Struthio camelus: one gene and its partner. The protein of the gene in region 1 purifies or fractionates together with the protein of each later gene. This does not show direct contact. Links are inferred from orthologs where the notes say so. Each region holds a gene or a part of one and is shown on either strand. Other genes may lie near its edges.

What was found. Proteins that work in one complex are often made in the same cells at the same time.
Region 2: the proteins of EGFR (region 1) and PEX19 purify together in Homo sapiens (co-immunoprecipitation; 3 studies listed by BioGRID and IntAct, with this or other methods). This does not show direct contact. The link is inferred for Struthio camelus from reciprocal best matches to the Homo sapiens genes EGFR and PEX19.

What each region holds. Positions count from the first base shown.
Region 1 is NC_090943.1:60,447,854-60,455,086, reverse strand, and holds the start of EGFR (epidermal growth factor receptor), read left to right. Parts: upstream 1-4,233; 5' UTR 4,234-4,544; coding exon 4,545-4,689; intron 4,690-7,233. UniProt on the Homo sapiens protein: Receptor tyrosine kinase binding ligands of the EGF family and activating several signaling cascades to convert extracellular cues into appropriate cellular responses.
Region 2 is NC_090971.1:621,051-628,208, reverse strand, and holds the start of PEX19 (peroxisomal biogenesis factor 19), read left to right. Parts: upstream 1-4,154; 5' UTR 4,155-4,222; coding exon 4,223-4,277; intron 4,278-5,172; coding exon 5,173-5,273; intron 5,274-5,506; coding exon 5,507-5,672; intron 5,673-7,158. Other genes in the region: Fc receptor-like protein 4, read right to left, coding at 554-648, 911-915. UniProt on the Homo sapiens protein: Necessary for early peroxisomal biogenesis. Acts both as a cytosolic chaperone and as an import receptor for peroxisomal membrane proteins (PMPs).

The sequences.
Region 1 (7,233 bases):
GGGACAGATACAAGAGCTGAGTTGAGTGGGCAGGGGACCAGGCAGGATACGTGTGCCCGGCACACCTGAGCTCAGCTTTGGGGCACTCTTCCTCTCCCCCAAGCAAAGCTTGGGGCATGTCCCCATGCCCCATGTCCCTTCTCTTTCGTTATGTCTAGGAGCACCTGGGCTATGGCAGCCTGCTTGGCTGGGGCAGGAATTAGATGAGCAGAGGTATAAAGCTCCTTGTTTGCCAGTGCAGGATGTACAGTGAGAGTAACGCAAGCAGCAGTATTTGTGTTAATAGCCGGGCACCTGCTATTAATAGTTGCCCGTCTTGGAAAATTATGCGGTGTGAACTGGCAATGGTAGCGATGCTTCCAGTGACATGAGATGTACCGACAGCATGTTCAGATCTTATTCCATGCAGTCATATAGAGATGTATGATTTGTGGTTGAGAAAGAGAGTTAAGGCAGCACAGTAGTATCCGTGTAAGTCACCCTAGCAAAGTACAGAAATAAGCCAGAAGCTTGTTTCTACACAGGAAGCTACTGTGATGCTTAGTAGAAAAGATCTTGCAGATCGTTTACTCCACGTGTGCCAATTGTTATTCTTATATTTACTTTTCTGTTGCCTACCTCAGTTAGTGAATAAGCTGGTGCTGCAGATCCCTATTCACAGTTTAAAACATTTAAAAATCTGTTTCTGAGTGAGGCAAAGCTTCCCTGGAAAATGCAGCATTGACACTGACTAAGGAAACTGAGGTGACAGGTAAAACCTGGGTGTAAAAATGATAATAATAATAAAAGTGTAAGAACTCTCCTGAGATAATGCTACGGTCACGTGTTGAAATACTGGATGGATTGATGGTGGAACTTACTGTAATTAAGGTTTAACTCCAGCATCCGTGTGTGTATCTGTCTCGTCCTTTACACACCACTGTACAAACAAACAGTGGAAGAGAGCAAGAATCGGAGTATTTAAACAAAAAAAATCTACATTTTCATCAGGGAAGTTCTCTAGCAGCAGCCTGATCTGGGGAGATTCAAACACAATAGCTGGAATAAGCAGCTCTTGAGTGATAACCCCAGTACTGCCACTAATACTCCGCCCAAGGCAAATTATTTTACATCTATAAAATGGAAATGATAGATACTAACCTGCCTTACAGGAGATTTGTGAAGATAAATTAGTTAATGTTTATGCAATGTTTTGAACATGTCATGCCATAAAGCTCAAAGAATTATTACCTCAGTGAGGACTCTTAGAATACAAACTGCAACGCAAACTACAATGTCCGCAATCTCAAATACCATGCAAATGAAACCTGAGCAAGCCAGATTTAAAAGCCCTGCTAATTCAGCTCTGTCTCATTTCTTTTCTTCCGAGAAGAGGCCTGCCCTTTAAAATCACTTGTGCAAAACGCAGGAAAGAACAGCAGTGCCATCCGCGAGCAGTTGCTTATGAATTATTTTGGAGGGGCAAATGCCCCGTTTATCAGTGGATAATTAAAATCTATCCTTTTTTGGTTTTATTCAAGGAAGAAATCAAGCTGCAGGGACGACTTTGCTCTTGAAAGGATTTTGAGACTTTATTCTGTTTTGAGAGAATGTGGAAGGGGGGGACAGGAAAATTGATCCCACTTTTCCCACTTTTTCCACCAGTAGGGCAGTCAGTGGCTCTCCCTCTGTTGGCTCCTGCTCTCCGCGCGTGGCGGAGAGACCAGCTCAGCAGCACGGGCCGCAGCTGGGGAGCAGTCGCGGTTCTGCTCTCCCATCCAGCAGTATCCGCATGTGAAGGAACTTTCTCTTTAGCTGGACTTTACTTCCTATGTCAGTGCGTTTATGCTTCATATCTGGAAGATAAGTATACAATACAAAGCAAGTGAGTCCCAGAAAAGCCGAAGAAAGATTTTGCGTTTAGTATGATATTCTCACTAGGTAATATTAATTTAACGCTAGTTGTCGAAAGGTCGACCTTTGTTTCGTGGCCGTAGATTCATGCACACATGCAGCTGGTATTTAAAGTTTTGCAACGCGAAGGAATATTGCATGCCCATGCTCAAATTTGCGTAGTGACATTAGCCTCAAAGGAGTTATATCAAATGCAATCACTGGGTACGTGACCAGCTTTTTGGGAAAATGTCATATTTAAATTTAAACTGTTCCAGAAATTGTTCACTTGTGTAAATAGGAAACAGCAGAAGGCTTGAAAGACTCGACCGTGATCATAAGCATCCAAGTCCTCGGGTCTTACAGTCCCTACGTTATCTTGTGACTCTCACAAGTAGAGGACAAATGTCATGAAAATAACACATTTGGGCTCAAACAGGTGGGAAGACAAAAGTGATGGCAGCTTGCTGCACAGCCCCGTCAGTGGTACTGCAATGCCAGCATCAGACTAGATTTTCCTATAGTGAATTTTTAGAGGGTGGGGAAGAATTTAAAGGGGAATTTGCTGAGTCTTCCCTTGCCCATCATGTTCAGTTTTACATGGAGTCACATAAGGACAGCTCATGATGGGAGGCAAAGTGAGTATGACAGATTCCTGCTCAGAATGGCAGGTAGAATCACAATTGCATGAAAAATTCTTCAGCAAAAATATTTGTACGTTAGTATGTTAGGACTGGACTTTGACAAGTTTTTCCATTCAATTCATACATCAGAGATGGGGTTTTTTTCCTGTCTTGAGCTCATTTTTCCGTTATCACTCTGGTGATATCACTCTGAACTTTCCTTTCTCAAATGTAAAAAACTCCATTGCTTTCAACAGTTGTGTCTTGATATAATATATTTAAAGACACATGTTTTTATTTAATATTTGTCTACAGCACTGATTTGAGGTTTGTTTCTATTGTGTCTTAATTGTACGTCCTTATAATGAAAGCTGCAATCTTTAACATTTTTTGAGGTTGCTTTTGCAGCCCTCCCTCCTGAGAAGCTGATTTATTTTCCTGGGCATGTAATTTTTAAAAACCCTCCTATTTGTCCAAATAAATGAAAATCAATTGTATACATGTAATAGTTATGAGGCTGCACTGTATGAGCATCTTTGAAGGAAACAGCATGAATGTTGTATTGATAGATCAAATGCCGGCATCAGTTACAGCCATGAAACCAATCACATGAGTAGAGTTGCTCCCATGTTACCAATGCATGAATTTACTTCAAAGAACTTCTTTGCATCATTTACAAAATACAATCAAAACAGATTGTCAGCTATAGCATGCAAAAGCTGCACGGCGAGAAACTCAGTTGTAACCCAGTTTATCTTAATAAATCATTACAGGTGTGATGGGACACATGGTTAAAGGCCTCTGCTCAAGCATGTTTTTTGTGCTAATATAAGTAAATGGGACAGTTTTTCTATGTCTAGTTGGGTCAGGAAGTAGTTAAACTATCAGGAAAAGATAGTGCAGAGGAAGTTGCCTGGCAGGAGAACAGTAATGCAGCACAAAACATGCATCATCGGGGAAAGTCAAGATACACTCAGTGGCTCTTTTGCAATCTATTGTGTTCCAACACGTTGTGATAGACAGAGGCATTTAGCACATCATCTCCCAAACCCTGTGTCATTACGGACCTCGGTGCTGGAGTTCCCAATTAATCATAGCAGTTCCTGGGCTTCCTATCCTATTGCCTATGTGACTGAAGACCTCAGTCTTCGCAAGAGCGTTATGAAGAAATTAGCAACAGCATTTAACAAATCTGGAGGTTGACTCAGGAGGTGGCAGCAGACTGACTTGACTCGGGGAGATCCCGGCCGGGACGAGTGCCACTTCTGCGTCCCGATTTACACGCCTGTCTGACGAGACGCTGCTTCCTCCCGGTTTTGGGGAAAGGTGTTGGGTTAAAACCAAGACGCTCTAACCACAAGCATATACCACTAAATACTGAACAGCGTGCTTTGCCCTCCTGGGACGGGGTTGGGGGGTGGGGAAGGAGGGAGGAGAAGTCCGCATAGGCGCTTTTGCTTCGTGTCCGTGAATTTCGCCGGAGCCCCCGGGGAACACTTGTGTCCCTCAGCCTGTTTGCTCAGTAACTTCCTCCGCGGAGCGACTGCTCGCTGCCAGCGCCAAGGGCGCGGAGCGGGGCCGCCCCCTGCCCTCGCCCCCCCACCGCGGCACAGGTGGCGGGGCCGCCCTTCCCCACCTGGGCGGGGAAGGCGCCGCCGGTTCCTCCTCCTCCTCCTTGCTCCCGCCCCATCCTCCTCCTCCTCCTCCTCCGCGGCGTCCCCAGAGGGAGCCGCTGCGCTCCGCGGCCGGGCGGAGAGCGCAGCCGGGCGCGCCCCGTCCCGCAGCCGGCGCCAGCCGCTCCGCCACCCCGCGCACCCGTCGCTGCCGAGGACGACGAGGAGGAGGAGGAGGAAGCAGGAGAGGAAGGCAGGCAGGCAGGCAGCGGGCACGCACGTGTGCGCGCAGCCCTCGACGGCGCGGCATGCTGCGGGGAGCAGCCGCGGAGCGGGGCTGAGCGCGGCCGCGGCAGGAGCGGGGCAGCTCCGCGGAAAGCTTCTCCGTGCGCTCCAACCGCGCCGCGCCGCACCGCGGGAGCGGCCGTCCCGCAGCATGGGCGGCCGCAGCGCCGCCGCCGCCGCCGGGCCCCGCGGGGCCGCTGTCCCGGTGCTGCTGCCGCCGCCGCCGCTGCTGCTGCTGCTGCTGCTGCTACTGCTGGGGCGCGTCGCCCACTGCTCCGTCGTGGAGGAGAAGAAAGGTACGGGCCGCGCCGGGGGCGCCCCGGGGGCGGGCGCGCCGCTGCCTCCCCTTGGGAGCGGCGCAGGGAAAGTCCCAACTTCTTTCCTTTAAAAAAAAAAAAAAAAAGGGAGAGAGAGGAGGAGGGAGAAGAAAGAAAGAAAAAAAAAGCAAACCTATAGCAGCGATCACGCAGTCTGACTTCCTGATTCTAGGCTTATTTTCTTTTGTGGGGGTGGAGGAAATAAAAGGGAATAAACCTTGGCACATCCCATCGGTTGTACTTTTTTTCCTCCTTTGCCTTTCCCCCCCCCTTTGCTTTTCTCTTCCCCCCCCCCCAATCCCCTTCCCGCGTTGCCCAATCGCTCCGCGGAGCGCGCTCCGGGCCGCCCTGGCTCAGCCGCGGGGCGGCCGCCGGGCCCCGCTCCGCACCGCACCGCCCCGTGCTGCCGCCCCCCGCCGGGGCCGGACCCCGCGGAGCGGCGCGGGGGCTGCGCGGCCGCGCCGCCCCCCTGCGAGTACCGCTCCGGCAGCCCCCGCCCGCCGTCGGGTCGGTCGCCTTGACCTGGCGTCGCTGCTCGTCCCGCAAAAAGATCCGCACCTGGGCGGGCGGGCGGGGGGAGGGGGGAAGGAAGGTAGAAACAGGGAAAACTTCATGTTCTTTCTGTTTCTGCCGGTTAAATAGGAGTTATTTATCCCGGTCCCTCCCGGCCCGACCTGGCCGGCCCTCCCTCGTCCCGCCGCGGCGTGACCGCCCGGCTCCGCGGTGCGTGGGAACGGCGCGGAGCGGGCTGCCGCCGGCTCGCCGTTTTCTTTTTTCCTTTTTGGAGAAACTGGTTTAGAGGGTGAGAAAACGTTTCTGGCTGATCAGATCCGTCGCTTTTTCTCTGTGTGTGGTGTTCCCTTTTGTGAGTTTCAAGAGCAGGCCCCGACTGCTGTTCCAGGCAGAGTGCAGTCGTCTTTATCTTGGAAATCTGCCAGTAGTGAAAAAAGCAGATTTTTTTTCCCTTTCTTTCTTTTTAAATATAAAGCGGGAGAAGGGAATTAATAGTTTCTGGAAAGGCTGCATGGCTTAAAACAACTGAATTAGTCTTTCATGACTGTGGACGGAAACATACCTTTCTAAAGCGCTAGTTGCACAACCTTAAAAAAGTCAAGAGATTCTCTTGTTCCAGCAATCAAGTTCATACCTGTTGTTGATGTAATGCAGGCAGTTTTTCTTTCCTTCTTTTCTTTTTTTCTTACGCTCTTTGAAAATGATGGGAAGCAAGCTGACTCCCTCTGCTGAGCTTGTGCTAAGTCTTTTGAAATGCAATCTCAGGTGCGTATGCCCTGTAGAATATGTAGATTCTGAGGAGGAATATCTTGTTTATAGTGCTTGATACTGTATCTCATAATATGATGAGGGTACCGGTTATTTGAGGATTGCTGGATAGCCAACAGCCAAGTGATAAACCCGCTAGAGTTTATTCTCAGTATGTTCTGTTAGTAAATAACTGTATGAGAAGAACTTGCAGCTCAATGACAAAGATGAAGGCAGAACAAAGTCTTCAAGAAGCCTGAATTAATTGATTGGTCTTTATTGCTCCCTACTTCAGCAAGAAAGTAAGTCAGTGGTACATAATCAAGTTGCATTTGAGAGTGATGAGATACCACAGGTAGTGGACCATCCACATATGTCTAGACTCTACCTCCTGGGTCAAGCGATAGGATCCCAGCATCAGAATTTGGCATTATTTTGAAAGTAAACATGCTGTAACAAACCTGTGCCGTGCTGACAAGCTACAAGATAAAATTCTGTTGCTACAGGAAGTTCAAATGACATAGGAATTCATACTTTTTGAAACTACATAATTTCAGCCTGATTCATTCTATTGCCCAAAAGAGGAGATACCTCAAAGAAATAGTGCTGGTGCACAAATGTTATTCTTGTCAGAAGAATGTCAAAATCGCCCCATAAAATCTGATCAATATAATATTTGAATGGAAATTTAAATACAGTTGTGTCTTTTCCCAAAACTTTAGAATGAGATCTTTGAATATGGATGAGAGAAAACTAGTTTAGCTGTAACACCCTAGTCATTAAGATATTAAAAAAATATATCCAAAAGCAAGTGGTGGTGTTAGAAATTGAAATAACACTCACAAGCATCAATACCTGCTGTATATGCTCTAATGTTGACCCAGATTAATAATAGTGGAACTAATCTGGATTTCCTTTCATGTACTCAGGATGGCCTGTTAAGTGGTACCTAAGATAAATACCTGTGATAGCAGGCATGCTGCTTATTGCAGAATGCACATGACCAATGTCCGTTTTGTGTGTCAGTGCTCAGTGATAACACTGCGATTGAAGCAAAATGGTTTTTGTTGGGGTTTTTTTATCGTTCGCTTGGATCTGTAGTTACAGCCACTGTGGGCCAGGAGCGCACTGCTGTATGCTGGGAGCATGCGTGCAAACGCGCTGGGCAGCTCCGTAGCTGCAAAAGTTCTCTGGTGCCTTTTTGTACCTAATGCTTTATACTGCTTTTTGAAAAACAAAGGGAAAGTAGATTCCTTAAGGGTA
Region 2 (7,158 bases), on another chromosome or scaffold:
GTCGGCACGGCTCGCCGCCCCGCCGGCCCGCTCCGCTCGGGGCTCGTCTGCCCGCCGGCGGCGCGGGAGAGGGGGCAGCCCGGGCGCCCGACCGCGGGCAGGGCAGCCGGGAACGGCCAGACCCCGACTCCGGCTTTGCGCCCAGCAGGCAGCCACAGCCCCTCTCCGAGCGCGGAGGGGAGGGGGCTGCCGGAGGGGCCGCGGGGCAGGGGGGCTGGGGCCCCGGCCCTGCGCCCAGCTCCTCTTTGCAGCCTCCTCGCCGCCTCGGCACCTAAGCGCCGGCTCCGCCGGGTGGCACCGCGTCCCGTTTGCGCCTCGAGCTTGTGCCCGGGGACGGGGAAGGCCGGCGAGGGGACGAGGAGGCCAGAAGGAGAGCGCGCTCACCGCCGCCGCGGCGCTCGGGACCGCCAGCGGGCTGGTGCGGCGGCGAGGTGCGGGAGCAGGGTTTCCGCCCGCGCTCTCCTCTCCAGCACCCGTCGCCCCGCGGGCGCGCGTGGCCCCGCCGGACGCCTCGTCTCCCCCGGCCTCCGGCCCCGATCCCGCCAGGACTTACCCCAGAGGAGCAGAGCCGCGCTCCTCGCCATCCCGGCCGGCTCCGACTCGCCCGGCCGGCTGCTGACGCTGGGCCACCTCCCCTTTGCATAACTGCTATTTGGAGAAAAGGAAAAGGAAGTGGCTTGTGCTCCCCCCCCTGGGGCATTTCCCCCATCCTCAGTGGCCAGGACAACACAGCGAGCAGCACCCAGGGGCTCGGGATGGGCCTTTGTGGGTGCCAGCTGCTTGTCGCCACCGAGCCGGCGCAGAGATGTGGCTGGCGGCAGCAGGGGGCCGGGTGCTCAGGTCTTCCCGCACGTGGCCAGCATTGAGCCAAGGGGCGACAGGAGCCGACAGAGGGTTTGGAGCTGCTAACCCCATCTCCGGGCTGGGCAGCTGGGCGAAACGGTCTCTGAGTGATGCAGCACCTCTTGGACAGGTTCCCAGCACCGGCTCTGCCGGGTCGTGCGCAGTGACCGTAACATGTCCTCTGTCACCCACGTGTGTCTGATCACTTGCAGATGCTTTGATAAGCAAATGATCTGGTGAGAACTGAAGCGAGCTGTGTTGTGCAGCCCCCGATTCTCAGCAAACAGTGAAAAAGAAGGAGAGCCCCCAGGCTCCCCCTCTGCGGTTCCCGCGGCTGCCCCTGGGGCCAGCGGGGACAGTCACCCCGTGGGACACGGGTGCACGGGCAGACAGCCTGACCGTGCTGCTGGAGGGGTCAATCCAGTCTCTTTTCTTTGCTCAGCAGGTTTATTGGAAGCAGACAGCTCGCCCTGCTCGCAGCCCTCGCTGCGGCTCCGCAGCACAGGGCATGGAGCGATCCAGGGCTTGCCACCCCGTCCTTGCAGGCTCCAGTACCTCTTTTTCAGGCTAATACTTTGCAACAGGTTAATATAGATACCGTATACCTATGCAATGGGTTACTGTGTATCAGATATACCTATGCAACAGGTTATTGTATAAAGAATATATATATGCAATGGGTTATTATATTAACATATGTGAGAAAGCTGAGGGTCCGGTTGGAGCCGTGTGTTTCCTGAGCACCTCTGAAAGCCGCTGCCGGTCGGTGTTTCTCGCTAAGCCGTAGACGCGTGGCCGGGTGGTGATGGCGGGTCGACAGGCGGCGAGCGCAGAAGTCTGGCAGGGGTAGGGGAAAAAAAGCAAACGAGGTTTTAAACCAAACGTTTCCCCCCCGAAGGGAAAGGGCGGCAGCCGGAAGGGGAGGGAAGGGCTCCTGCGGCAGCACTGCCCCAACGCGACGCATCTGCGGAGGGGGTTTTGCCCATCCGCTTCAGAGCAGCAACCGCTTCACACGTGTGCATCGCTGCTGCAGGTGCTCCCTTGTTTTTTGAAGGAGCCGATGTGTCTAGAGCCAGTAAAAAGCTAAATGCATGGTACGCCGCAGGGTAAAGTCACACAAATTTCCGTCGGTGGCGTGGGGCCAAGGTCACAGCCTGGGTTTTGTTCCGTGAGAGTGCAAACACACACGAGCGTGCATGCTCACACATGCGGTGCCCGAGGGAGCCGCTTACCTCGCCGCTACCAGCAGCAGCGGGGCAGGAGGAAACCAAGGGCGGCAGCGACGAAGACCGGGCTCATCCTCGGGTGCCAGCGGCAGGAGGCCGATCGGCCTGGCCCTGGGGAGAGAGCGCGGCCGTCACGGGGGACCTCTCCGGGGAGGGGACGGGAGGTCTCCGTGGTGGCCCCTCACCTCCTCTGGTGCCCGTCGAGGAGCAGCCTGGAGTCGACGAGCAGCTGTCCCCGGCGGTCCCGTTGTCCTTGGGTACCTGCACCCCGGGGCCCTTCGTTGGGAGCCCCGAGGGCATTTGAGCAGGGGGACAAAGTGGGGGTCAGGGTAAGCGAAGGACTCAAAGCCAGGGGCTTATGTGCCCCCCAGCTTTTCCAAGGATTAACTCCATCCTCTGCCTCTCCTCCAGCCAGGGCAGAGGTGCCGGGGAGAGGGGAAAGGACGGGGGAGCCCCAGCCCGGTGACACCCACTGCCACGGCGCTCAGCACCCAGCCAGCCCCAACCTACGGGGGGGAGGTGGTCCCACGGCGGCGGGAAGAGGGCCGGGGGGCTCTCGAGGGACGAAGTCAAGCCCTGGCTGCTGTACGACAGGTACACGCAGGAATAGGCGCCGGGCAGCGCCCTGTCTTCGATGGTGGGCGACGAGGCGTTCCTGAAGTTCTTCTTGGGGCCCTGGGGCTGTGACCGCCAGTAAAATCGGTACATGGTCACGGACGAGGTGATGGGAGCCAGGCACCGCAGGGTGACGAGCTTGTCCTGGCTGGAGCCGTGCAGGCTGAAGTGCGATGGGAGGATGCTCAGGAAAGGGGCTGGCAGGAGGTCTGCAAGGGAAAGGCTCCGGGCAGCGGGGCGGGCGGGCGGGCGAGCGGCTCCCCGCGGCGGACGGCACCCTCCTTACCTGCGGGGTGCCCGGGCTGCGGCAGGGTCTGGAGCCAGGCTGCGGAGAGACGGGGGGAGCGGTGAGAGCTCGGCGGCACCACGAAGGGCCGCTTTGGGCCGGGCGGGGAGCGGGATGGCACTTACTCAGCAGAGGCAGGAGCAGAGCGAGAGCCATGGCGAGCGGAGTGGCGCTGGGTAGAGCTCGAGCATCCCAGCCCGAGACCTCTTCCCGCACCTTTTCTTGGAGGGGAAGGAAAGGTCCTTCCCCTGCGGTCCCCGCGGCAGGGAGACAAAGGCAGGAAACGCCACAGCCCACCCCGCTGGGCTTCCTCTCCCCCAGGAAGCCCACGGGGCAGGCCCGGCCCAGCGAGGGCAACCCACCGCAGCCCCGAGCAGCGGCAGCCGCGGGCAGCCGTGATGGGCACAGCTGGGCACAGCTGGGCACAGCTTGCCAGGCCCCGGCAGCTGCTGTGGGGACGTGCTCCCCCCGTCCTGCCAGCCCCCCCGGCTCCCCCCGGGGCCGGCGGGAGCGGCTTCGCCAGCCGGGGGGACGCGGCTGCCCGGGTGCCCGGTTCACGGGGGGATGCGGCTCCCTGGGGCTCCCCAGTTCGGGGGGGGACGTGGCTTTGCCGTTCACAGGGGATGCGGCGCCCCGGTGCCCGGGGGGGGACGCGGCTGCCCGGCTCACGGGCTGCCCGGGGATGGGGGGGGGGGGGGGACGCGGCTGCCCGGCTCACGGGCTGCCCGGGGTTGGGGGGGGGGACGCGGCTGCCCGGCTCACGGGCTGCCCGGGGATGGGGGGGGGGGACGCGGCTGCCCGGCTCACGGGCTGCCCGGGGATGGGGGGGGGGGGGGGGGGGACGCGGCTGCCCGGCTCACGGGCTGCCCGGGGATGGGGGGGGGGGACGCGGCTGCCCGGCTCACGGGCGCCCCGGTGCCCGGGGTGGGGGGGGGGGGGGACGCGGCTGCCCGGCTCACGGGCTGCCCGGGGATGGGGGGGGGTTGGGGGGGGGGGACACCGCGAAGCCCCTCGCGGCGCGGCGCGGCCCGGCCGGAGCCCCGCGCTGCAGCTCCGCGCGGCGCCGCCAGGGGGCAGCGGGGCGTCCTGGCCGGGAGCGCGCTGCGGCGCCGCCTGGGGGGCGCTCGCGGAACGGCGTGGGGCGGGGCGTGGGGCGGGGCGTGGGGCGGGGCGTGGGGCGGGGCGTGGGGCCTCAGGGGCGGAGCTTGCTAGGCCGGGCCCCGCCCTCCGGCGGAGGCGGAGCGGCGCGAAGATGGCGGCGGAGCCGGGCCCGGGCCCGGACCAGGAGCTGGACGAGTTGCTCGACAGTGAGCGGGGCCGGGGCAGCGCCCGGGCCGGGGGGAGCCTAGGGCTGGGGGGGTGGTCGGGGGGGGCAGCAGCGGGGCCGGGGGGGGAGGTGGTCGTGGGGGGGGCAGCAGCGGGGCCGGGGGGGGGTGGTCGGGGGCGGCAGCAGCGGGGCCGGGGGGGGGTGGTCGGGGGGGGGCAGCAGCAGCAGGGCCCGGGGGGGTGGTCGTGGGGGGGGCAGCAGCGGGGCCGGGGGGGGTGGTTGGAGGGAGCAGCGGGGCCGGGGGGGGGTGGTTGGAGGGAGCAGCGGGCCCGGGGGGGGGGGTGGTCGGGGGCAGCAGCAGCGGGGCCGGGGGGGGGTGGTCGGGGGCAGCAGCAGCGGGGCCGGGGGGGGGTGGTCGGGGGCAGCAGCAGCGGGGCCGGGGGGGGTGGTCGGGGGCAGCAGCAGCGGGGCCGGGGGGGGTGGTCGGGGGCAACAGCAGCGGGGCCGGGGGGGGGTGGTCGGGGGCAGCAGCAGCGGGGCCGGGGGGGGGTGGTCGGGGGCAGCAGCGGGGCCGGGGGGGGGGTGGTCGGGGGCAGCAGCGGGGCCGGGGGGGGTGGTCGGGGGCAGCAGCGGGGCCGGGGGGGGGGTGGTCGGGGGCAGCAGCGGGGCCGGGGGGGGTGGTCGGGGGCAGCAGCGGCCCGCACCCCACAGCAACTTTCTGCTGCCCCAAGAGCGGTGGTGCCATGCCCCGGGGCTGGGAGACCTCCCCTCGCCTGTCCCACAGGCATCCCACCCCGATGCTGCCTGGGGCCAGGAGTTTCAGGGTCAACCCCTGCTTGGGGTGCTACAAGCCGGGACCCCCCGTCCCTGCCCCTTGTCGCACCGTCCTCGGCCGGATCCCCGCTTACCTGGCCCGGCCCCGCTCCTGTCCCCAGGTGCCCTCGACGACTTCGAGAAGGCCAGGCCCACCGCCCCACCGCCGCCTGCCCCCACAGACCCTGGCCACTCCGAAAAGTCTCCCAGCGATGCAGCCAAGGTGCGACGCCATCAGGACGTGGCCTCCCTCTGCCGCTGCCGGCTTGCCGGGGCTGGAGGAGCTGGGCAAGGGGGGGAAGAGCCCTGTTGCAGGGCTGTTTTTGCCACGGGCCAGTATTTGCCCTCTGCGAGGTTGGAAAGCAGCATCTCCTGGGGCTGCTCTGTCGCTGCCAGCTGCAGCCCTTCCAGGCATCCAGAGCAGGGCACAGCTCTGACTGTGCCCGTTTCCCTCAGGAATCACTCTTCGCCTCCCAGGAGAAGTTTTTCCAGGATTTGTTTGACAGCGAACTGGCCTCGCAGGCCACAGCGGAGTTTGAGAAAGCCATGAAGGAGCTGGCTGAGGAGGAGCCGCACTTGGTGGAGCAGTTTCAGAAGCTGTCAGAGGCAGCAGGCAGAGTCGGTGAGTGGTGCTGAGCCCCTGTGCGTGCAGGGAGTAGGTGCTGGGCTGTGGGCAGCCCACAGCTGCCATTGAGAACCCGATTCTCCTCTGCCGGGGAGAGGCTTTCTGTGGATAACTCTTACCCCACCTGGGTCCTGGGAGCCCCTCGGCCTGCAGTGATCCCAGCTGAAGCCAACTTTGCAAAGGGAGCTTCCCTCAGGATTTGGCCTCTCTGCCTTTCTCCTTCGACTGTCCTCTTAGTCCCTATGGAAGAGGAGATCCCACCTTAACCCAGCTGTGGAGCATCCCCTTGGAGCCTGCTCATCCTAAATCCCCGCCACGCAGAGGTAATCTGCGTGACATGGATTCCTCAGGAGAAGTTTGGGCTCAATCGGAACGTCGTCTTGTCATGATTAGCACTGGGGGTATATGGAGAAGTGGATGTGAAAGCAAGATCCTTCCTCCGCCTTTCCTTAGCAGCCTTCTCAGCTATGCTGGAAGGCTGGTAACAAGTTGTGTGTCACTGGGATGTCTGACTGCAATTAGAAGCACCGTGGAGCCACTTGGGGCTTAATTATGCTCCCTTAATTAGATTGGGTTTACTCCAGGAGTGTTGAAAAGCACTTGCAGGACGGTCATGCGTGGACCTGTGCAGCTGCCAAAGTCGCTCGTGGGCTCCCTGGGAAGGAGATGCATGTCAGTGCATGTCAACATGCCAATGTCACTCACTGAGAGCTTTCCCCCGTGCCCGGGACGTGGCAGGCTGGACGCAGTCAGCCTCTTAGTGGATTTAAAGCAAGCAGCGAACCCCTCAGTTAGTGGACCACAGGTCCAACGCTCAGTTGGTTTCACCACTACGAGGCTTGTTTCAACCTGGTGAACTCTTCAGGTAGCGCAAGACCGGTTTAAAAATAAATCCTGCCTTGCCAGGCTTACGCTGACATCCACATTGGCCCCAGCAGCCGTTCCCAGGGTCGAGGTCTCGGCTCGCAGCCAACTCTGCTGCTGGCTGGGCCAGGAGTCTGTTACCAAGGGCACGGGCAGAGCAGCACATGCTGCCCGAGGGTAAGATTTCCTGGCTCCGTGTGCCAGGGTTTGGCATGCTGGACTCTGGGATGTCGTCTGTGTGCCGTGGTAGCAGTTGGATTGCCCTGCCCTGCCGCCTAGCACTGCACCATGAGCTAAAGGGCAGAAGATCCTTCTTGGCCCCTTGGGATGGTTGAGCAATCGCTGTTGTCACCGGTTGTGCAGGGCAGAGGTTTGTTTGGTAACAGACAGGACAAAGTGTGCCTTCACAGGAGGGGATGCATGAACGTGGCTCTCGGAGGGCATCAGCAGCTGGCGTTTCTTCAGTGTGGACTGTGGAGAGCTCCCAGAGGACTTTCCACAGACTTGGGCAGGGAAGGTCTTAATTTAACTCTGGGCAGGTCAGTGTTTCAGTTTCCCTAGGAGTCCTGCCGTGACCGAATCTGAGGCTGTTTTCTTTCTCTGGCCATTGGACAACGCA